3 linked regions of the Drosophila melanogaster genome follow. Changing the gene in region 1 together with any one later gene gives a genetic interaction. Each region holds a gene or a part of one and is shown in the gene's direction. Other genes may lie near its edges.

Region 1 (10,389 bases):
GGAATCAGTAAGTTCCTGCAGCGAAGTATCCATGATCGTCTTGGCTGTTTACCAGAGGAGAAACAGGAGCCAGAGTATGATCTCAGTTGCGTCAACGGGCTACAGAGCCTGCCCAAGAACAAGAAGGTCACCGTCTCTCAACTGCTGTCCCACACCAAAGCATTGGAGGAGCAGCTCTCCTTCGAGCGAACGTTGCGCAAGAAGGCCGAGAAGCTGAATGAGAAGCTTAGCCACCAGCTCATGAGACCCGACTCCAATCACATGGTTCAAGAGAAGGCCATGGAGGGAGGATCACAAACGAACATTTCGAGGGAATATGTGGCGCGGAATGATGTTATGCCAGAAGTCATCAAAAAGTGGGCTAGCTCTCAATTCTCAATTCAATGCCTATCTGATTTGAGTATTTCTTCACAGTTCCCAAAGCTACCGCCAGTCGCACTTCAACCGGCTGGTCAACAGTGCGGCCACCAGTCCCGAAGTCACACCCCGCAGCGAGATTGTCACATTGCGCAAGGAGCAGCAGCTGCAACGTCAACAACCCCCACCAATGGAGGTCAAGCATCTTTCCTTGGAGCAGCAAATCCGAAATCTGCGCGACGTGCAGAAAAAGGTGGACTTGGACGTGGAGGAAGAGGAGGAGGAGGAGGAGGAGGAACAGCAGGCGGAGGAAAGTCAATCCGAGTCGGAGCCGCAGAACGAGGAGCAACAGCATTACGAACAGCAAATGCAGGTCCAACGCAAACATCTCCAGGTGCGCAAGGTTCGCAGTGAGATTAAGTATGTGGAAAACAATCCCAAGGAGGCAGCCAAAAAGAATCGCGAGTCCAAGTCGGACCATGAGTTTGCCAACGAGAGAGATGTGAGTAGTATCCACAATATAAATTAACCAGTACTAGCAATTTATTCTCCTGTACGATAACCCATCTTATCCCCACAGTTCAAGCTTAATCCCTCTGTTCAATTCGAGACGGACATTGGCGACAATGTGATGGTCAATCCTGGCCACCGATACGAGGGCGGCGGGGGCGATACGGCCTATGTCTACAACTATGAGCATGAGCAGCAGCAGCAGCCAGTCAAGCGGGGCTACGAGCACGGCTATGTGGTGGGCGTGGGTGACGGATCCCACAGGAGGCAGAGGCAATCTCAACTGGTCGAGGCTTTGGTGCAAAAACGTGTCCCAGGCGCCAGCGATGGACATGTGGCGCAGTTCGTTAGCAATCTGGAACGACAAGCGAATGCTGGTAAAACGGGGAAAAAGCGCCTTAAACCTCGGCCTGAGGACGATCTTCAGGTACCAGTCGGCGACATGCACATGGAGTCGTCGTATATGTCCCGCTCCGAAGAACTCTCCTCAACGGACGTTACGCTGGAGAACTCAGACTACGAGACGGAGGCGACGGACTCCACGTTACTTAGTAGCTCGAAATACTCCTCCATGCATGTCTTTGTGCGGCGCAAGCAATCGGAGTCCATGTCACTCACAGAAGAGGCCGGCGACGGAGATGCCGGCGGTGGTGGAGGCTCTGGCGATTTCGGCGACCAAAATGTCATATCCCCGGCCAATGTCTACATGTCCCTGCAGCTCCAGAAGCAGCGGGAGCAGAGCGCCTAGGGGTCGTGACTTTAGGTTCCTCCATTCAAAATCCCCGCAGCCATTCGCAGCCGGAGCAGCGACACCACAGCTGGCTGATACGCCGAGCAGTAACAACAACAACACCACTACCACCACCATCACACCCACAACAAAGCAGCCAACTCGATTCGATAGGATCCCCACTGGGAGAGCTAAATTTGCAGTCATACTCCCGGGCAGTAGCAGTAGAAAAGGGAACCTGCTCCTTTTTGCACGTCCTGCCATCTGCGAATTCAAGCTGCACCAAAAATGTACAAAAATATACTTTGGTCTTACTAATTTCCATTAAAGATTTATTATTTGTGTGCTCCCTAAGCGAGTTTGTTGGACCTTATTTTCGGATGATTAACCGCCCCAAGTCAAAATGCACATATGCATGATATTGAGTTCTCTATGTGATATCTTTTGATTTATTTAGTCCGTATATTGTGAAATTATAAAATATTTGCGTTCGGTTAAGTTTGCGTTGAATACTACTGATTAAGATTCAATTGGATCAAGTATTTTGAATGTAGTTAAGTTAACTCCATGGTTATTTATTATGTGGAGGTTAGAGGGCGTGCTTAACCGCCAAATCCGTAAAGGGTGCGTCCCTGGCGCTTGAGGGCATAGACCACGTCCATGGCGGTCACGGTCTTGCGCTTGGCGTGCTCGGTGTAGGTGACAGCGTCACGGATAACGTTCTCAAGGAATACCTGTGAATTTTCCGAGAAATTAATCAGTTTTTCACCACTTTCCCTTCGTTTCGCCAGAACGTACCTTTAGCACACCGCGAGTTTCCTCGTAAATCAAGCCAGAGATACGCTTAACACCGCCGCGACGAGCCAAACGGCGAATAGCAGGCTTGGTGATACCCTGGATGTTATCACGAAGCACCTTACGATGACGCTTGGCGCCCCCCTTTCCCAATCCTTTGCCTCCCTTTCCACGACCAGTCATTTCTCAGTTGCTTCGTAAAGTTGGCTGAAAAGAAGAGAAGACGCAATAAACTGTAAAGCGACGCCATGTTTGGTGAAAGGTAAACGTTCATTTGACAGGTGAAAACTGTTGTTAATAAGTCTGTTTTCATACAAAATAATGGTCTCCAATTATTTTTTTTATGTTTATGCACAAAAAAACTTTGTTGACCGATTCTTCTATTATTTACTTAAATTTCTCAGCAACAAAACTCACTTCAAGAAATCTCCAGAAAATTGCTTGTGAGCGTGACCAGATCTCGCACACCTCAAAATACCTTTCGCAAAATGCGCGTATCTAGTATTTCTATTGTCTCACTACCAGCCCTGGTCAGTTATCGCCTATCGGCCATCGCTATCGCCGCCCCGTTGCGACAAAAAAGATTTAATCGAACCGAAAGACGTGCTCGCACTAAAATCGCTTGAAAACAGGCCCGCAGACCTGCGAAAAACGAAAAAGTGCAGCGCGCATATACTTTTTCAACTGTGCCCCTCTAGCTTAAAATTAAGTCGCGGCGAAAAGTCGAGTAAAACCCGCGGAAATGCGCATGCAAACGGCGTGTGGCCAGCAAAATCGCTGCCAAGGCACCGCACACACACTCGGCCACCCACACATACACACTTAGTGCTGTACTCGAAAAGTGCGAAGACAACAGGAACTCTGTGCCAAAATAATATTAACAGTACCCAGTTATTCCATTCCACTGCACCTGTCCCCGAAACATCGAAATATTCGCGTTACGTATACGCAACGAGTGCTGTAAACAAGTTTGCACAGGCGATAACAATGTCCAAATACGATCTGCTTTATCTAACGGCGCAGCTAACGCTGGGTATGTATTGCACTGCGAGTGTGTGGGTGCATACTTATTGGCGCCTTAATTCCCAGTCGCTTTATTATGTACATATGTACATAATATTATATTTTGTCTCTGCCTTACGATTTTCCTCTGTAATGCAAGCCGACTTCGATTTATAACCATTCGTGCGTGTGATTTTTGATGATATGGGGTGCGTAATGCTATTACTTTATTAATATCACATGGCGCTTGAAAAGTTCATATATAGGGTGTATAGGCTTTGTGATAGCTTTGTCCTATTAACCAACACATCAGAACATCTTAAATTTTCAGAAATTAGGTATAACGAATGTAAATGCTAGGAATCAAATCTATTTGTGAAGTGAATAATGTATACACTAGATACTCTATTAAAGCACCAACAATTGTACTACACAAATGTAGTAAAATATCGTAAGAATTGTTGACAGTGGGTACTACGAATTCATATGTTGAGCGCCAAACGCATACTCGGTATAAATCGATCGGATACCTAATTCCCAATCTTAATCCATGTGTGTGTGCGCTGAGCATTTCTTTGAATGGATTTTGCTGCATTAGGAACTTGTTGTATGGCAGGTTCTGGTTTCTCCCACCCTTTTGCTCCACCGGCCTCCCTCTCTTTCGCTCGCCATAGCCCTCTCTCTTTCTGTGGCGCAGTGCGCTCTCTTCCCTGTTGCTGCTGTTGTTGTTGTTGTTTCTGCTGCTGCTGTTTCCTTTTTCCGCACAAGCGCCACTTTAAACCCATCCCTTTCTGTGTGCATAATGTGCCTGCTTATGTATCTACTTTACTATAAAGCATGCACGCTTACGAACACACACATACATGGCCAGCGATCCGATTACCTAAAGGACAGTGGGACGAAAAGTGTTTCAAAGGATTGAAAACAGTTTGCTTAGCCAATGGTCAAGAAATATCAATCAATATATCGCAGGCTCGTTGCAATAAACGTTTTCAAAATTAAATTTTTTGTATTTACACATTTAAAAAGTGAATTATCATTTTAATTTTTATCAACAAAAATTTCGGTATTTGGATGAGGATCCCAGATTAAATCGAATTAAAGAATGTAAATAGATTTTCAAGAAACCTTACTGCAGGCCCACTGTGCACTGCATATCCGTGCATTGGGGCCATGCCCACTCAAAGGCTGGTGTGTGGCCAGTGGGGCTAATTCCGTGCCCAAATGGGGTGGCTTTCAATGGCAGAGGCCCCAGCTTAGGACGCTACTCCTGCTACTTCTGGGCATGCGATATGTGTACAAAGGATAGCGCCCACAAAGAGCTCGCTGAGCGCCCTCCCTTTCAGTCTTATTCCCCAAATAGGCTCGACTTTATTTGCCCACCCTTTGAGCACTTCCAACCGATAATTCCATTAACTTTGATCTTTAACTACGTTTTAACTTTTTGAAAGTCTTTACTCATGTTTTAGGACTGCTCAAATATATACTTTAAATATAGATCAGTGCTAATCTAAAACTAGAAAGATTATTAATCTATTTTCCCATTGTCTTCATTTAGTCTGCTGTCTGATTGGAATCCATGGATCTATTTTGCCCGGAAGTCATGGGATCATAGAATGCGAGCACTTCGACGAGAAGATGTGCAACACAACGCAGCAATGTGAAACACGGATAGAGCACTGTAAGATGGAGGCGGATAAGTTTCCCAGCTGCTATGTCCTTTGGTCGGTCAACGAGACAACGGGTGAGCCGTGCAGAAGTTGACGTTGTTTCAGGCATACTGATTAATTTTAATTTTTCCGTTCCCATAGGCATCCTGCGCATCAAGATGAAGGGCTGCTTCACGGACATGCACGAATGCAATCAGACGGAGTGCGTGACCAGTGCAGAGCCACGGCAGGGAAACATTCACTTCTGCTGCTGCAAGGGATCGCGGTGCAATTCCAACCAGAAATATATTAAAAGCACCACGGAGGCAACCACACAAGGTGGGTTCGGATCCGGTTTCGGATTCAGATTCGGTTTAACGTTTGCTGCTACTGGGGTTTTGTCTTTGGAGTGTTTACCCCAATTTTGTTATTTTTCCGTTTGCATATATTTTTTGTTTGTTTTTGTTATTTCGTTTTTTTTTTTTTTTTTTGTATTTTTACTGCATCTTCAAGTTGCAAAAAGAGGGCGTAGGCTTCGCCTACAAAATACCACTCCTCGCATCCGAGGCAGCGTTTTTCGTGTTAACGAACTCTTGACGCGAAGTGGCGCCCGCTCCCCCATCATTTTCTACATCCCCAGCCTCCAGCAACCCCTTTTCGGAGCCGCATGTGTTGCAATTTCTGCCCTCCTGTGCACGTTCGCTGGTTCGTTTTTATTTTTATAGTAAGGTACTTCTTTAGCGATCGGGTATAATGCGTTCGCTTTAAAGGATGCAACTGAAAGAGGTAGTTATTTGGTATAAATCCAATTTATTTCACTCCGATTATGAAGGCTTAATAGGATTAGACTCTACCTATTTTGAATGATACTTAATTGGCTTGCAGCCTTAACCCACAACGAGGAGAGTATCTGTTATCTAATACCAGGTATACAAGTGTCGAGTGACTTCATTCTAGCATCCTTTCTTGTTTTTATTTTTGGGGTGTTGCTGCTGCCTTTGACTTCGAAGCCCTGTGCTGCCAGGGCGTCTTTTGTGCCCTGCTCTTTGTTGTTTTGTTCTTGGGCCTAGCTCGCTTTTATCTCGAAACAAAATGAGGGGAAAAAGAGATGCGAAATTGGGGGCGAACTTTCGTTTTTTAGTTTTCGTTTTGCCTTTCATAGCAACCCCAGCAGCTGCAGGTGCATGCCGCCACTCGAGATGTTGTTCACCTGTGGCAAGGCAGCGTTTAAAGCCCTCTTTAATGTTCGTTCCCGTGTGTGTCCTTGTATCGTTGCAGTGCCCAAGGAGAAGACGCAGGACGGCAGCAATTTGATATACATCTACATTGGCACCTCCGTTTTCAGCGTGCTCATGGTCATTGTTGGCATGGGCCTTCTTCTCTACCGACGCCGCAAGCAGGCGCACTTTAACGAGATACCCACGGTACGTACATATCCTTGTGATGTTGCCGCAAATATATAATTTTAATTATGCAAAATTAAACCCTTTAGCACGAGGCTGAGATAACAAACTCATCGCCATTGCTCAGCAACCGTCCCATTCAGCTGCTGGAACAGAAGGCCAGTGGTAGATTCGGTGATGTGTGGCAAGCCAAGCTCAACAATCAGGATGTGGCCGTCAAGATCTTTCGCATGCAGGAAAAAGAATCGTGGACCACGGAGCACGATATCTACAAGCTGCCGCGCATGCGCCATCCGAACATCCTCGAATTCCTGGGCGTTGAGAAGCACATGGACAAGCCGGAATATTGGCTGATATCCACCTACCAGCATAACGGATCACTATGCGACTACCTCAAATCGCACACGATCTCATGGCCAGAGTTGTGCCGCATCGCTGAGTCCATGGCCAATGGACTGGCACATCTGCACGAGGAGATCCCGGCATCAAAGACCGATGGGCTAAAACCATCGATAGCTCACCGAGACTTCAAGTCTAAGAACGTACTGCTTAAGAGCGATCTGACGGCCTGTATAGCTGACTTTGGTTTGGCCATGATATTCCAGCCAGGCAAGCCCTGCGGCGATACACACGGTCAAGTAGGCACTCGACGTTACATGGCCCCAGAGGTGCTTGAGGGTGCCATCAATTTCAATAGAGACGCTTTCTTACGCATAGACGTCTACGCATGCGGCCTAGTCCTCTGGGAAATGGTGTCACGGTGTGACTTTGCCGGACCCGTCGGTGAGTTCCAGCTGCCTTTTGAGGCCGAGCTGGGCCTGAGGCCGTCGCTGGACGAAGTTCAGGAGAGTGTGGTAATGAAGAAGCTGCGCCCTCGTTTGCTCAACTCCTGGCGCGCCCATCCGGTGAGTGTGACTTCTGATAATGCTTTTAGTCAATGAAAATAACTTGTAACTTTTTTACAGGGACTTAATGTATTCTGCGACACAATGGAGGAGTGCTGGGATCACGACGCTGAGGCTCGTCTTAGCTCTTCGTGTGTGATGGAACGCTTTGCGCAGCTAAACAAGTATCCCTCAACCCAGTTGCTAATCAAGAACCACACCAACATTGACGACGCCAAGGAATCTACGAATTGCTTATAGAAGCGGTACTAAGCCACAGACCAGCCAGCGGATCTGTGGCTCTGCAAAAAAATCAGTTGAAGCTTTTTGCTTCGTAGTGGATAGTTGATCGTCGAGGTCGTAAGACGTTTCGTTTTTAGTTTAATAGTTTGTAGTACCATTATAAGCAGCTATAGAATGGGTTGATTTATACGAAAGAAGTCGTGTAAGATGTAACTTTTCCTAAGGGAAAAGCCAAAAGCTTAACATGCCAACGATTCTTTGTTATTATTTTCTTTAAATTATAAATCGACTCATTCGATGTTAACCCGAGTTCTTAAATCTGTTGGAAATGAGTGGAAACGTACACTAAGCAACTTTGAACAAAGAGCATTAGCTATGTCCAGAGACGTGGTAGTTGCTAATCCGACATTGACTTCATTGACTGATAACCATATATAGTTCTATATAAATCATACATATAACGTACAATTTGTTTTGCCCTCTGGCAGTAGCCTGTGTGCATATGTAAACTGTTGAAAATTATCGTCAAGCCTTTTAAAGTATAATTTTATTTGTACGTTATCGAATGTCTTCATATAGTAGTAGTTTTATATTTAAAGTTATTTTCAAAATAGATTTAACAATTTTAGTTTACTTTTTAGTTGTAACGTTTTTATTTCGCGCTCAAACGTGCATGCGTTTTAATGTTGTATTTTAAATAAAAATACTTTAAACTCCATCCTAACCATCTGATTTTTTATTATTTTGTCTGTTTTATATTTCTGCTTTTGATTTTTATTTTTTTATTTCCAAAACGTAGTGCCAATGACCCTCAGAAATCGCGTAAGCATAATAAATGTGTAATTATGTAATTGTATTCTAATTCTACTGGACAGTACAAGCAACACCTGAAGTTTTCAAAGGAAAGTTTCTTTTTAACAAGAATCTAACTTAAGCGCATATACATAAATTATAAAATATAAACTATACTCTTTATATATACACACAACACATACACGCATAGGCATACGGAACACACGCAGTCTAGCAGGTTTATATGAAGCACACGCTGCGACTCATCGTCAGCATAAAATCTAAACAAAAAAAAAATCAAAGTTAATATTCAACCCAAGAGGTATGCACACACTGTAAGAAATTAGAGCTAAACACAATGAGTAAGTATGTTAAACATTGTTAAACGGATAGTATGTCTTATAATGTTAGCCAAACAAGGTGTATGTCGAGCTATAGTTATTTAAGCTATAGTTTAATTAAGAGAGTCTTGGCGGAATGTATTATCTTTCGGGTTATTTGAAACTTTTTTGCGCAGCATCAGTTCTTATCAATGGCTAAGCATCTGAAATACTTCTGGATTATCAGTTAAGATATCAACTAAACACGATACACAACACAGAACAAAACGAAACAAACAAAGCTTCATTACCTGATTTTTTTGAGCAACTTACAACAAAAATAGTTTATTACGCAAACAAACAAAAACCAAACGACATAATCTTAATAATAGAACGAATTTTGTTATGCTGTATTTAATTTGTATATTTTCCATTGGTGCTGAAACATCATTACGACGAACATAATGATAATGAAGATAATAAGAAACGAATTCAAAAACAACCAGTATTTAAAGAGCGAAGGAATAAACAATTAATATTTAATCATAGTAGTTTGTTACATATCAGATTGCTAAATGGGATAGAGGAAGATAATATAAATCGATCATTTCAAAAAGATTTGCAGAGAAATTTTTATAGCATTATACAAGGCAATAACAAGCCAACAGCAATTTTGGTATATTTTTTAATGCATTTCATAAGTAAAACCAAAACGAGTTTATAAACAGTAAATTCATAAGAAAATCTTTTTAAAACACCCCATTTTCGAATATCATCAGCAAAGTTTTATAAAAACCAATATGCGAAAAACATATACGAGATGATAGCAAGTCGTGTTAAGAAGTTTACGATTAAAAAACGATCTTTGATAATAACGGATTTAAAATAAAAATGCAACTGTTTAATAAACAATTCATCACCGGTTTTTCCTTAATAAAAATCGACTCTATTCCAGCTTTCTTGCCACTTTTATTACAATTGTCTTCCGTAAACATTCAGACCTTCTGGATTATATAATTCAACAATACAGATAGGAAAACTTAGCCAAGAGCTACACATATCAGATACAAATATTTATATGAATAATATTAAATATACGGTTTATTACTGGGGGAGTTTTTAGAGTTATGTCCCTGATTAACTTATACAACGAAATCGAACGAATATATAGACTCTAGTACAGGCTTAATTGATACAAAATATATATATTTACAATCTTCTACGTAGTTTGTGACATTGGACCATTTCAGTTGTAGTTCTACGATCGTTCGTTCCATCCTCCGTCTGTTTTATAGACATATCAGACTTATCCTTGGCTTCGTAACTCTCATTCTTCTATATCCTGGGGAAAAAATCGATCTCTATCAAATGCAAAAATGTAAAGCATTCCAAGTCCTGTGCGTTCTGAATGGGTGTCTTACTAAAATATATACTTGTAAATCTATGTAAATCTATATTGATTCGGTTTCGCATTCCGTGTGTGTGTATAATCACCTAATCCTTAGCCATTCTCAGCTTACTGTATCGAGTATATCTTTATTGGGTTCTAGGCTTAACATGTACAATATATAATAGTATAAATAGGTATTAATGTATATATAAGTACTTATTGAGTTTGTACGATATGTTTGTCCTAGGGAGAAAACTTTGCAAGTGAAGATACAAGATACGAGATACGAGAGTATGCAGTTAGGGACGGTTTCT
Region 2 (7,346 bases), on another chromosome or scaffold:
ACATAGAGATACGAAACGGAGAAAGAAACACGACGAGATGTTGCTATGAATTTAAATTGTTTGGAGTTTCCAACGTGGTTCATATACATATAATTTCACTTGCATTTTAAGGACACAATTATAGTTTACTTTTACCATGCCTAGCTGATAAGTTGTTGGTACAAAGAATCGAAAATAAAAACATAGATATTTTCCAAGGGAAAAATAAAGCGTATCGCCAATGGATAAATTTTGATTTCGTTTTCTTTTGAGTTTATTATTGATAGAGCTTTCATATTTTATTGTGATAGGATTATACAAGCACCTTGTCAAGTACTATTGGATTACCTATTTTTCTATATAACATCCAATATATATGTATTTGATTTGGTTCAGAATTCAAAAATATTTAGGGGGATTATATTTCTATTTTCTTTCTTTCTTTAGAAACAAGTTTTTTTTTTACGAGGTTGAATGAAATATACAGAAAGTTTTTCTGGCTTTGCTTGTTTGTGGATACAATAGAATTTTTTAAACAGTAAACAAAAAATTAAAAAAAACAAAATTATAAAAAAATGTTTTCTGTTTTAAAAGGCTAGCTATAAAAAAAGCTAGGTATGGCGAGCACTGTTCCCATTTTCCATCCCTGGTTAAGGCTGTGTTATCGTTATCGGGAGACAGCTGATTGGCGGCATCTTCATTTACAAACAATTGTGGAATTTGCAAACTTTTGTAAAAATGGACTACGATTTCAAGATGAAAACGCAGATAGAGCGTACGAAAGTGGAGGACCTATTCAACTACGAGGGCTGTAAGGTGGGACGCGGAACATACGGCCACGTCTACAAGGCGAAATGGAAGGAGACAAGGTGAACTGGTCATCGGGTGCTCTTCAAACAATATAAATAATTATAGTATTCATGTTCTTTAGCGATGGCAAAGAATATGCCTTGAAGCAGATCGACGGCACCGGATTGTCCATGTCCGCCTGCCGCGAGATCGCATTGCTGCGCGAACTGAAGCATCAGAACGTAATTACCCTCATCCGGGTGTTTCTGTCGCACAACGACCGCAAGGTGTTCCTGTTGATCGACTATGCGGAGCACGACCTGTGGCACATCATTAAGTTCCATCGGGCTGCTAAGGCCACCAAAAAGCAGGTTGTGGTTCCCCGCGGTATGGTTAAAAGTCTGCTATATCAGATTCTGGATGGGATTCACTATCTGCACAGTAATTGGGTGCTACATCGTGACCTGAAGCCGGCCAACATCCTGGTGATGGGCGATGGCAACGAGAGGGGCCGCGTAAAAATCGCCGACATGGGTTTCGCGCGGCTCTTCAATGCCCCATTGAAACCGCTGGCAGATCTGGATCCCGTGGTGGTTACCTTTTGGTATCGCGCTCCGGAACTGCTGCTTGGCGCTCGTCACTACACCAAGGCTATCGACATCTGGGCTATTGGCTGTATTTTCGCCGAACTACTCACTTCGGAGCCCATCTTCCATTGCCGCCAGGAGGACATAAAGACCAGTAATCCGTACCATCACGATCAGCTAGACCGCATCTTCAATGTGATGGGCTTTCCGCAGGACAAGGACTGGGAGGATATCAAGAAGATGCCGGAACATCATACGCTGACAAAGGACTTTAAACGCTCCACATACTCCACCTGCTCGCTGGCCAAATACATGGAAAGGCACAAAATAAAGCCAGACAGCAAGGCCTTTCACCTGCTGCAGAAGCTGCTGCTAATGGATCCCAACAAGCGCATCACCTCCGAACAGGCCATGCAGGATCAGTACTTCCAGGAGGAGCCGCAGCCCACGCAGGACGTGTTCGCCGGCTGCCCCATACCGTATCCCAAGCGTGAATTCCTCACCGACGACGACCAGGAAGATAAGTCGGATAATAAGCGACAGCAGCAACAGCAGCAGCAACAACAGCAGCAACAGCAGCAGCAACAGCAGCAGCAACAACAACAGCAGCAGCAGCAGCAGCAAATGAACGCTGAGCCGAATGCAAAGAGAGTTCGATTGTCCGGAGCTGGTAACCAGCAAGATTTTCACCACCAGCAGCAGCAGCAACAGCAGCAGCAGCAACAACAGCAGCAGCAGCAGCAACAGATGATGTTCAATCAGCAGCAGAACTTCCAGCGCTTCAACTGAGAGACTGATACATGCAGCATTTTTTCTACAACACCTACTAATTTCTAGCCTTCTAAGTATTTAATTTAATGACCTTGATAATAGCAAGTAAAGTGTACGATATAAAACGTTGATTTTTAATGGACAGGGTTTTCTTTATTTAATTTTGTGAACTCCAATTAACTCAAATTCGTTGAAATATCTTTCCGAAGGATATTCAAAAATAAATTTGAATGCATGTTCTTTCCTCTCAAAAATGAATTTCTCAAACGAAGTTTTGAAAACTATTTTTAAAATTGGTTCGAGTCTGAGCTATTTATTTAAAGCATGTTATGTTTTTGTGTCGGCTTGGGTCACGATACGCAAGTATCGATTAAATGTAATCGAAGGTGCCATCGCTGTGTTGCCAGCTCTAGTAGAATTTGTTAGAATATTTTACCGGATTTGCCATTTGCTTTGCAATACAAATTAGAAGAGAATATCCACACAGTGACCATTAAAGCGTAAAGAGCCAAATCTAACGTTTTCCAAATTAAGATCAAAACCGCCCGTCTGGCGACATCGATGAGATCGTGGCCCTCGCCCAAAACCCAGCTGGCTGCCAACTTGAAGATTGTGGCGTAAATTGCCCTCCGGAAACGCAGTTGCAATTGCAGTTAACAGGCGAAAGTCACACAAGTAAGTGGGATTCGGAATGGAGGCGGTGGTGCAGGCGGAGGCGGACGACAACAATGCGTCGGATGTCCAGCGGGGTGTTGGTGGGGCATTGCTGGCCGTAGTGGCCACCCAGTGGGCGGCAATGGCAACCCCTCCAAGGGCACGAGGTTTCGCCGCGACCTGTGCCATTATAATCTGGCGAACATCGCGATTTCAGTGCCTGTTCGGCTACTGCCGCCGTGATTCACGATTGTCCAGCAGCAACAGTGGCAGCAGCAACAGAAACAACAACCATAAAATCTACGAAATCATCAATGACTCCCAACCGCCTGACGTAATTATCCGCGTGCATTGTTCGCAACTAAAGCACACTCTGGTCTTTGCCCATTGTTACAGGTAACACAGATAGCCAGGATGCAGAACAATCCCAGCCCACAGCTACCCTGCAAGGGTATACTAAAGACTTCGCGTAGCTTCGACAAGTCGGGAGCCAGGTGAGGTCATCGAATGACCCCAGTTAATAGCCCTTATTAATTGGTTTCTTTTTCATCCTTTTAAAAAGTTTTCGCAAAAGTGCCAAGTTCGATGAGCTGAACGTGATGCAGACCTTCCATCCGGCCGACAAGGACTACGGACACATGAAAATCGATGAGCCCAAAACGCCGTACAACTACACGGAGGGCTTCGACGAGAACAGGGACGAGCTGGACACGGAGTTGCTAGTGGAGAAGTATGTGGAGCTTTCCTATTGTTTACTTGCTAAATGGTTTGGCAAGAGCACAGAGTATCAAGTTTCAAACAAAACTGATTTCCAGAAAATGCGCCGTTCACATTTGTTTGTTTACATGTGACTTATAGATTCAGAGATTAAACAATCGTTGATAATTATACGATTTGCAAAATGATAATCAAATATATCAACATTATTGAGCAATATGACTGCCTCAGATTTCTTAAGAATATAACTAGCTAAATTCATAATCAATAATTTGTTTGAAAAGAAAAAGTTTTTTTTGAAATTTGAAGACTTATTTTAAAGCCGTGCCAGTCATTTTGTAGTTTACATATTATTGCACTTACAATTACTAAAAACACATACTAATTTGCAGACTCCGCATAGCGGCTAACACACAGCCGTCGACAGAGAGCATCGAGGACGATGGTTCCTCCGGTGATGACCAGCCCCTTAGCGAAGAGGAGCGACGTAAGTACCATGAACATCTCAGATTCCAACAATTGCTCAAACATATTTGCTTGCAGAACGGCGGCGCGAATTCGAGCGACGCCGTAAGGCCCACTATCGCGAGTTTGAGGCCGTCAAACTGGCACGAAAACTGATCCAGGAGGAGGACGACGACGATGACGACGAGGACAAGGGTGCGGATAGCCGGCCCTCGGGCTCGTCACAGGGCGCTTCCAGCTCCGGACGTTTCGCGAGCAGTTCGACCAAACGGTCGAGCTCTCAGGCTGACTCCACCACATCCCCGTCTACCAGCGCCGGCCAGAACATGGACCTGGAGCCATCGAATAACTAGAAGCAATGTCAACCCATCAATCAATCACTAATGTTTACCTAGCGGACAATGGACGATTCTGAGGGCAGCTCATCCAAAACAATAAACAAACGAAATTATATCAAATTATCAAGTGCTGTGCGAGTGCGGAGTGAGAAGTGGATGCTGATTAGCAGGGTGGCGAGGAGCACTCGTGATTAATTGAATTTACCCAACTAAACACAAAAAACAAACCGTCGCCAAGGAGATGCGTCATCGAGTAGTGAACACAGCCGATAAGCCGAGGGGCACTTTATTGTTGCAAATTGAGTTTAGAGCACAAAGAATGTGCACCTGGTCGGAGAATTTGATTGTACGACACAAAATATAATTAATCGTATGCGTCTCAGCCGTAGCGTCCTGTATTGTTGCAAATGTAGTTAAACAAAAGTCTTTCAAATTGATATCGAGATGGAAAGCCAACCCGTTCGCAGCTCCGTTTGCATTTAATTTGATTGGATGCCCAGTGCCACAGAATGGATAACTTGTTGTAACTAGCGTTGAAATTGATTTGGCCTTACTTTTAGTTATTTATTAATACGATACTATTATGATTACTATTAAGTTTTAGCCATCGAATGCGAGCCGAGCGTTTCAATAAAGAGAGTCCAAAAACCCAATTGAAAAAAACCTTCGAAATAGTTCTTCTCGTCGCGAGTATTCAAAACTTGCCGTTTATTTAGTTTCTCATTTCATATTAGTTATACATCGTAGTGTAGTTGCGTATAGACATTGCTGGTCATAGTAATTGGTAAAGTCTGAGAGTTGTGTTGGCCCGTCCTCGATCTCGCCCCGGCCTCATCCCCCATCCATACGCCAAGATCTGGGCCCTGAGTCCGCGGCTGCTCGTCCAGCAGGCAAAGGCATCCTCATATTATTGCCTGGGGTCAGCGGGCGAACTAAAGGGCCGACCTCAGACGGCTGGAAGGGGGACTGATGGGGCCTTATAGGGGTGGCATAATCCGAACGTGCGCGTTGAATTTAATATCCTTGAATGACATATTTCGAACTCACAGATTTGTTTCGGCGCGGTCGCCTGGTTTCTTGTATAACTTACTTATAGCGGGATATTTGACGGTTTTTTATAATTTGCAGTTTAACAATTTCAAGGTAAATATATATATATATATATATATATGTGCATATAATATAGATATAAGCAAAAAGCATGCAAACTCAAACAATAAACATTGAGAAACCCGTGCGAGCGGCTCCAAAGGATGTGCCACGATATCGGGGAACAATTTACAATTGGTGATTGTGGTTCGCCCAGAGGATTCCTTGAGCTCATCGCTGCACGGGATCTGCGTTAAATAGAATATGCTCACAATAAATAGTTTAGTATTGCTCTTACATCTAAGACAAGGTTCAATCTCATTATCATTTTTCCGTCTTGGGTCGCATCGTTTCCATTTCATTTGCTAGTTAATAGTTTAACAATCATCTTAGCATCTAGCACTATATAGCATATAGCATATAGTTCTGGTCTCCAATCTAAGCCATACTATATGCACATGCTCCAAATATGTGTATATAGTATGGGTGCATGGAGATTTTCGTTATCCATTGCTGCACCGTTTGGGCAGCTTGGATCAGGGTTCCAAGCCCACGAATCATCATTAGTATTATCTCGAGTGGATGCAATCTGATCGTGGAATCAGCGAGCATCTATATTTATACGGATAATATTGAAGATGATTCACCGGTTGGTGTCACACCTGCTGTAGTATTGCATTCACCTAACATGGGTTCGTTTCGTAATATATGTATAGTATATATGGCGTCGTTAGTGGTCATTTAAGATTAGTATAACAATTGTATATATCCTATATAGATAGATTGATTCGTTAGTGTTTCGTTTTAGTAACATAGACATTGATCGTTTTCAGTATTATTATGAAGTGGGTTCCATTGAATTTTATGCTGTTGTTGTTGTTGTTGTTCTTGGCATCTGAAAGAGTCTTTCCCAAACTTAGCCGAAAATGTGCTGGGTGCCCGGAGGCACCTTGTAGCTGGGATAGCCATTGTTCAACTGGTGCTTGGCAAAGAAGGGTGTGTAGTCCTGCTATTACACATATGCATTAATATCGAATTGATATGTATCTTAAGCGGCTATATCCTACCCGGTTAACTCTCCTGGGACGGCAGACGGGACCCAACGCCAACTGGCGTCGTTCCTCGTTCTCGCGAGCCGCGGCCTCCTTGTACTCCGGTGGTGGCCATTTCAAATCTCCGCGCAATTTGCTGCCTCCTAGAATAATTTTATAAATGTTAACTATAAGTTAACTAATTTAAGGTGATCCACAGTACCCTGATAACTGACGGCGGCTGGCTGCGAAGTGTAGACTGGTGCAGGCTTCTGGCTGACTGGAGCCTCCTTGCGCAGGGTGATGATGCCGGGACTGGCGCCCCGGTAGCTATCCTGGCCAGCGTAGGCTCCCGGATACTGCTGCTGCTGCTGTTGTTGCTGCTGCTGCAGATCAGTCTGATCCTGCGAGTAGGGCAACTGGGGCTGCGAATAAGAATTGTATGGGGGTTGAGCATAGGTCGAGCCACCATTTTGCTGTGGGTAATAGGATGGCTGTTGCTGTTGCTGCTGTTGGTACGGTGAAGCCTGGTACGATGGCTGCTGCTGCTGCTGCTGCGGCTGGTTCCACTGTGGTGGCTGATAGGGCGCCTGAGCCTGCGATTGAGGCTGATACTGCTGCTGCGGAACCTGCTGCTGCTGCTGTTGCTGTTGCCACTGTGCTCCAGGCTGCTGGCCATCGTAAGACGGAGCACCGTACTGCTGCTGCTGAGATTCAACCGATGGTGCAGTGGTGCAGTGGTGTGGTGGTGTTTGGTGGTGCCAACATGCATGTTCGACATGGGTTTCGATCACAGGTTATGATTTTAATTCGTAGATGGGTGGTGTTTTGTTGGTTGGGAGGTGCATACGACACATTCACATTGGATGTAGATAGAATTGATAGAATATGTTGGAGATAGAGATAGACAAAAGACCATAGTTAGA
Region 3 (6,726 bases), 710 kb from region 1:
TGAGGCTCTATGTAGGCATCCGCACAGGATCGATTGCTCGGAATTGGATCCAACAGCGACATGGCACGTCCACGGGCTAACTCCGAGATGCGAATCCCAGGCGGGCTTGTTTCAGTTTTCGGATCGTTTATTTCTCCAAATTGATCCACAGCGGTTTGCAGTTCTGTGAAAAATCCAGCATTATTATCTTGTAGATGTCTAACGCTCTGTCGTACATACGTATTACGTGTTTCAGCGTGGCATGAATGTCGAATGGCGTGGTCAGGTGATGCTCGTTGGCCAGAAAGTTTTTGTACTCCTGCGGAAAGCGCTTCTTAAACGACTCGGGAAATACGAAACTGAAGAACGGCAGACGCTCTTCCTGTTTTCCCTGCAGAGTGGCTCGCACCTCGGCAAATCGATTGCCATGATCGGCCATCATGATGAGAATGGTGTCGTCTAGCAGCGATCGTTCCTTGAGCGCCACCAGCCAGTCATGGACATCATCATCCGCTGCTCCCACTAAGTTGATGGAGTCGTGGGACAAGCCGCCATGGAAGCTGAAGGCAAAGCGCGGTGCATCGCGATACTTAAGCATAAACTGTACGAAAATTATACAATGAGTTAGTTTCCAAGCACATTTCGAAAGAGAACATACGTTTTTTGTGTACTCCAGCATGGTGATGTGATCAGGCTGGTGGCCAATGCAGTTGGGCTTGCTCTCGGCGGCCATGTGCTCCGCCTGGACATAGTAGGTACGCAGGTAGTGGTCCACCGGCTGGGCCTCAAACCCTGTCATGCGGTACGTGAAAGTGCCCACATTGGGCAAATCCTCATTAAAGGAGGTCATATATCCCAGGCGGGCAAAATCCTTCCAAATCATAGGATACGAATCCACGCTGCCTGCCCCGGACAACCGCTTCCTTGTCTCCGGCAGCTCCAGTTCCGTGAAACCCGTCAGTAGGGGCACCAGCGCCTGTGGCGTACCATCGCCCACAATGTTATAGCCTTTGAGAACGGTGGCGCCCAACTGTTGGGTGAGATACTCGTAGGTCCTGGGCAGCTTGCGAATGAAGGCATTGCGACTCAGCGAATCGAAGCCAAACATGAGGACATTGTAGATGGGAGCTGTGGCCCCATCCTGCATCTGCTGCTGGGCCTGCGCAACCGCCTCGGGTGGTAGGACGGCCAAGTTCGGGGAGAAATTGGAGGCCGGTGGACGGGGCACCGTATCCCGTATTCCGTGGGCCATGCCAAACCAACTAAGTACATGAAGATCATTCTTTAAAGTATAGGCATAACTATAAAATAAGATAATGGTCACCTCTCGCCGCTGGAGGATCGACAGACCACCTTGACAAAGTCGCTGGCCTGCAGCACATAGGGCTCCTTCATGCGCAGTGACTGCCCAAAGCGAACCTTGTAGTCCGACTTGCGAATAATGTCCGTGTAGGAGCAGATCACATCCTCGTGGCTGGACGCAATCTCTGGTCGCACAAAGCAAATGGATTTCTTTGGGGGAAACGAGGTTTAAGTTAAGCAATCAGCTCTTGTAGAAGGGGCCCAGTCCCAACCAACCTCACACATGACCCAGTCCATGCCCTCGCCGCAGTTTATTCGCTCAACCGGCTTGTAGAACTTCATGATGTCCGGATTGTCCAGCGGCAGATGGGGATGCCGGCACTCGCCACGATTCACAGCCGATCTTATGGAGCGCTCGATGATTTCGCTTTAATTAAATACAAAATTGAATTAGTTGCAAAAGATAAATACTCTTTATCACAAATATGCGCATATGTACATATACATATGTATGGACAAACATCGTACAATCAATATCCCAAGCCGCTGTGACGCACAACTAGACATACTTACATTTTGAGGCTCTTATCCAGATCCCGCTCCACGTTCAACACATACCAGGTGACCAGCAGGACCACCACACAGCAACATGCTGCAATCTTGGGGACAGTTCCCCGCCGCACAAAGCGCATTTTGAATAAATTATGAGCTGCAAATATCGGACCAGACACATGAGACTTGCATTCGCATTATTGCTGCACATACAGCACTCACTCGGCACTCAAGCGACGTACTACTTACACCACTGCCGATCTCCAAACTTGCCGCCTATTCGACCTTTACTAAATATCCACGCTCATTTTTTAAATTAAACATTTAACTTATCACCAGCTGCGACGTACCGCTATATGCGAGTTGCCAAAACAGTGGCAAACAACATTGCGAATTCGGTCATACTGTGTTGTTTGGCAACGCGACCGCTGCAATTTAAACTGCGACTTTAAACTTTGCTTTAGGTCCGATTTAAAGTCGGTAGAACTTTCAGTTTGCTGTAGAACGAAATATACCGTTAGCTTATCGTTAATGATAGTGCTTTTTGCTATCAAAACACCATGTGATACAATCGAACTTAGGCGGGGATTAAATAATGGTAGATACTCCCTTAAATTTGCCGAGTACTTTACTTACACTCAGCATGTGACAAAGTAAATTCTATTAGTACCAAAGTTAAATAAGCCAACTGACAATTACTAAGAATAATAATTGGAAGAGAGATAAAGATCTGCTCCCACGATTATCTTCATATCTGATTTGGAGACTCGCCAAAAAGCTTGCGACAAAGCTCGCAGGCCGAGAACCGCGTCCGTCCGAAGATTCAGTTGTGCGCCAAGCTCAGCTTCGGCCTCTTCGTTTCACTCCGCTCCGCTGTGGCACCTGGTATCGTCCATATTATCGCGCCGTTTATTTTGATAACTGCTTCTGCGGTCGGTCTGTAATATTGTTTTTAGGCAAAACATTATCCGCAAACCACTGACGACGTCTTGAGAAAGGACTAACGAGGTCCGATTGCGCAACGAAAATGCTAAAGCCATCGATTATCTGCCTCTTTTTGGGCATTTTGGCGAAATCATCGGCGGGCCGTAAGTAAATAGAAGACTGCCAAGATGCTCATCTGCTGGACATGACTAGCTTAACGTATTTGTTTTTTTTTGCCGCGGGCCTTCACAAGTCGCTGGAAACCTGTTTCCGTACTTCCATAGCTAATGACCTAATTTATGTATTCACAATATTGGTAAGCTCTCTGAACCTAAAGTCTGGATTTCCAGAGTTCTACTTCCCCAACGAGGCGGCCCAGGTGCCCAACTATGGGCGCTGCATAACGCCGAATCGGGAGCGTGCGCTGTGCATCCATCTGGAGGACTGCAAGTACCTATACGGCCTGCTGACCACCACCCCGCTCCGGGACACGGACCGGCTTTACCTGAGTCGCAGCCAGTGCGGCTATACGAACGGCAAGGTGCTCATCTGCTGTCCGGACCGCTACAGGGAGAGCTCATCGGAGACGACGCCACCGCCCAAGCCCAATGTAACCAGCAACAGCCTTCTGCCGCTGCCAGGACAATGCGGCAACATCCTGTCCAATCGCATCTATGGCGGAATGAAGACCAAGATCGACGAGTTCCCCTGGATGGCTCTAATTGAATACACCAAAAGTAAGTAGAGGGGCATCGTCTTAAGTCTGAACGCACTTATCCACTGGTTAATTCCTACATGCAGGCCAGGGCAAAAAGGGTCACCATTGCGGCGGATCCTTGATCAGCACAAGATATGTGATCACAGCCTCGCATTGTGTCAACGGAAAGGCACTGCCCACCGACTGGCGGTTGTCCGGTGTTCGTTTGGGCGAATGGGACACCAACACTAATCCCGATTGCGAAGTAGATGTGCGCGGCATGAAGGACTGCGCGCCACCGCATCTGGACGTGCCCGTGGAGCGTACTATACCCCATCCCGACTATATACCGGCCTCCAAGAACCAGGTCAACGACATAGCCCTGCTGCGTCTGGCCCAGCAGGTGGAGTACACCGACTTTGTGCGACCCATTTGCCTGCCTCTGGACGTCAATCTGCGGTCGGCCACCTTCGACGGCATCACCATGGACGTGGCCGGCTGGGGCAAAACGGAGCAGCTGTCGGCCAGCAACCTCAAGCTGAAGGCAGCCGTGGAGGGATTCCGGATGGATGAGTGCCAGAACGTCTACAGCAGCCAGGACATTCTCCTCGAGGACACACAGATGTGTGCCGGCGGCAAGGAAGGCGTCGACTCCTGTCGCGGTGACTCCGGGGGACCGCTCATCGGCTTGGACACCAACAAGGTGAACACCTACTACTTCCTGGCCGGCGTCGTGTCATTTGGACCGACTCCGTGCGGTCTGGCCGGATGGCCAGGAGTTTACACGCTGGTGGGCAAGTACGTTGATTGGATACAAAACACTATTGAGTCCTGATTGTAAAATGTCATATTGTAAATAAATTCGACTAACGGTTTCCGTTTAAAAACTGCTTCACAGCGTGTACGCATACTGCATGTCGATGGGCGCGTTCGCCGAAATATTGGCATAGTCAATCTTTTATTTTGTAATGAAACTATTAAATTAAAATTGACAGTCATAATACTTTCAAAGGTACATTTTTTTTAATCAATTAAAAGGTAAATTGGGCAAATTATTTTGCTTTATTAAAATGTAAAGAAATAGTTGCAATAAAAAAACTAAATTCATAATCGTTTTCAAAGTCACTGAAAATTTTACTGCTGAACTCACGCAGATTAAATAATCATATCTGGCAACACTGCAAACTGGCTGAGTAGTCTGGCAACGCAGACATATTGGTGGTAAAAATGTTGAAGAACATCTACGTAACGCCGTTAAATTTGCTTAAATCGGCCACCAGCCTGCAGCAGCAAGTGCGGGTAAGTGCTCTCCTGGATTAGGGAAGCGATCCCCATTCACCACCAATTTGCTTCCAGACCACGTTCGTCCTGAAGCGCAAATATGACCCGCCGCTGCACAAAACCAACGAGAAACCCCGCCGGATGAGGGCCAAGAACTTCATCTACGAGCTCGTGGACGACACGCTGGTCAAAAAGCGGCCCAACATCGAGGTGGTGCTAAAGACCTTCGTCGAGGGCGTTGGCGACAAGGGCGACGTGGTGTCAATGAAGCCGCACTTTGTCTACAATAAGCTCCTGCTGCCGGGTTTGGCCGCGTACAATACGCCGGAGAATGTGGCCAAGTACGCCAAGACAGAGGCTGAAAAATCGACTGTTAAACACAGCTCCCCCTACGCCCAGCGCACGGTCAACATGCTGGAGACCATTGTGCTGGCGGTGGTCATGAACAAGGATGAGCCATGGGTGCTCGAGCCCTGGCACATCAAGGCCTCGCTGCGCAAGACTGGGTTCTATTGTCGCGAGGAGTGCATTACCCTGCCCAAGGAGCGCATCGAGGGACCCGACCTGAAGAAGGAGAACAAGGACTTCTACTGCACTGTGACCATAAACAAGCTGGAACAGGCGCGACTCAAGTGTCGTCTGCACCACTGGAGCACAGATCCCAGCGAACGGCTGCCTTACGTACTCGAGCACTGGAAACTCCAGTCTGAGCCCCTGCTGGATGTATGTTCACCCGAAAAAACCCCTTAGAGACCCCATACCAAATACATGCGATTGTTACAAAACTGTTGATTTATGAACAGCCGGAAAACAGAGTTTATTTAACATTTTTATCAAGTTGTACGACGTGGATACTTACTTAGGATTACAAGTCTATATGATGTTAATATAGTGCACTAATGCACAGCTTTCAGTTCCACTTCGAAGACGAGAGTGGAGTTCGGTCCGATCTTCGGTGGAGCTCCCCGTGCGCCGTACGCCATGTGCGGGGGGCAGGTAATGACTCGCTTGCCGCCCACCTTCATGCCGGCGACTCCCACGTCCCAGCCCTTGATGACCTCTCCGCCGCCCAGGGCGAACTTAAATGGTTTTCCCTTCAGGAGGCTGTCGAAGGTCTTGTTGTTCGACTGCAGGCGGCCGATGTAGTAAACAGATACGCGTTTGCCCTGCTTGGCTTCTTCGCCTTTGCCGACGACCTGATCCACAATCTTCACGCCTCCGGTGATAGTACGTGGATCCTTAGAAGCTGGTTGCTGCTTGGCTGGCTCCTTGGCCTTGGGTTGTTCCTTCTTGGCCTCTGGCTTCTCCTTCTTCTTTTGCTGCTGCTTGGCCTCCTCCTTCTTGGCCACACCGTTCTGCTCCTTGCCAGATTTCTTGGCGCTAGCGCCAGGAGAGAGCTTGGCAACCTTGGCCTTTGGCTGTTCCTCTTCAGCTTCGGAGTCGTCGCTGTCCTGTTCATCCTCCTCGCCACTCTCCTCGTTATCCTCATCAACATCGTCGTCATCTTCCTCCTCACCATTTTCGAGGAAGGACTCGTATTCCTCGATTATCTGGCTATCGTCATCAGTATCCTCCTCGTCCTCCTCGCCGCTCTCATTCTCATCCTCATCATCTTCAGACTTTTTGCTATTCTTGATCGCCTTGGAGTTCAGCAAATTCTCGATCGTCATTTGATCGTCATCCTCATCATCTTCGGAATCAATGTCGTGCAAGTAGCCCAACAGAGAAACGCTGGCGTCGCCTGTGAAACGAACGAAAGCGTCAGAAACGGATAAACATGCGAACATAGTGGACATAAAAGGTCTTACCGGCGGTGTAGAACATGATGCGATCGCCCTTGCTGAAGTTCAGGTCGAGCGCAACCTGTGGAATGGCCTTGGTCACGGTGGCCACGATGTACTCCTGCTTCTCGGCAGCGAGGTACAACTTGGCCTCCTGGCCCTTGTCGAGTGCCACGCCCGAGATGTGGAACGACTTGATGATCGTCTGCG

Evidence for each region. Genes that interact genetically often act in the same process or in processes that back each other up.
Region 2: of put (region 1) and I-2, changing one enhances a phenotype caused by changing the other (phenotypic enhancement), as found in Drosophila melanogaster (one study listed by BioGRID).
Region 3: of put (region 1) and ea, changing one enhances a phenotype caused by changing the other (phenotypic enhancement), as found in Drosophila melanogaster (one study listed by BioGRID).

Annotation. Positions count from the first base shown.
Region 1 is NT_033777.3:14,618,236-14,628,624, reverse strand, and holds put (punt), read left to right. Parts: upstream 1-2,921; 5' UTR 2,922-3,379; coding exon 3,380-3,425; intron 3,426-4,952; coding exon 4,953-5,138; intron 5,139-5,205; coding exon 5,206-5,382; intron 5,383-6,321; coding exon 6,322-6,467; intron 6,468-6,535; coding exon 6,536-7,351; intron 7,352-7,411; coding exon 7,412-7,591; coding exon of another isoform or gene 7,592-7,603; 3' UTR 7,604-9,595; downstream 9,596-10,389. Other genes in the region: CG7886 (uncharacterized protein), read left to right, coding at 1-356, 415-859, 938-1,615; His4r (histone H4 replacement), read right to left, coding at 2,200-2,331, 2,396-2,575.
Region 2 is NT_037436.4:9,831,977-9,839,322, reverse strand, and holds I-2 (Inhibitor-2), read left to right. Parts: upstream 1-2,817; coding exon 2,818-3,114; intron 3,115-3,176; coding exon 3,177-3,274; intron 3,275-3,342; coding exon 3,343-3,510; intron 3,511-3,889; coding exon 3,890-3,984; intron 3,985-4,040; coding exon 4,041-4,315; 3' UTR 4,316-4,956; downstream 4,957-7,346. Other genes in the region: Cdk8 (Cyclin-dependent kinase 8), read left to right, coding at 718-848, 911-2,144; CG43897 (uncharacterized protein), read right to left, coding at 6,306-6,395, 6,457-6,584, 6,644-7,124.
Region 3 is NT_033777.3:15,326,073-15,332,798, forward strand, and holds ea (easter), read left to right. Parts: upstream 1-2,656; 5' UTR 2,657-2,860; coding exon 2,861-2,921; intron 2,922-3,010; exon of another isoform or gene 3,011-3,107; coding exon 3,108-3,494; intron 3,495-3,558; coding exon 3,559-4,289; 3' UTR 4,290-4,336; downstream 4,337-6,726. Other genes in the region: CG6236 (uncharacterized protein), read right to left, coding at 1-163, 220-580, 638-1,241, 1,304-1,491, 1,558-1,708, 1,855-1,973; mRpL9 (mitochondrial ribosomal protein L9), read left to right, coding at 4,682-4,753, 4,811-5,485; Fkbp39 (FK506-binding protein 39kD), read right to left, coding at 5,632-6,476, 6,544-6,726. UniProt on the Drosophila melanogaster protein: Component of the extracellular signaling pathway that establishes the dorsal-ventral pathway of the embryo.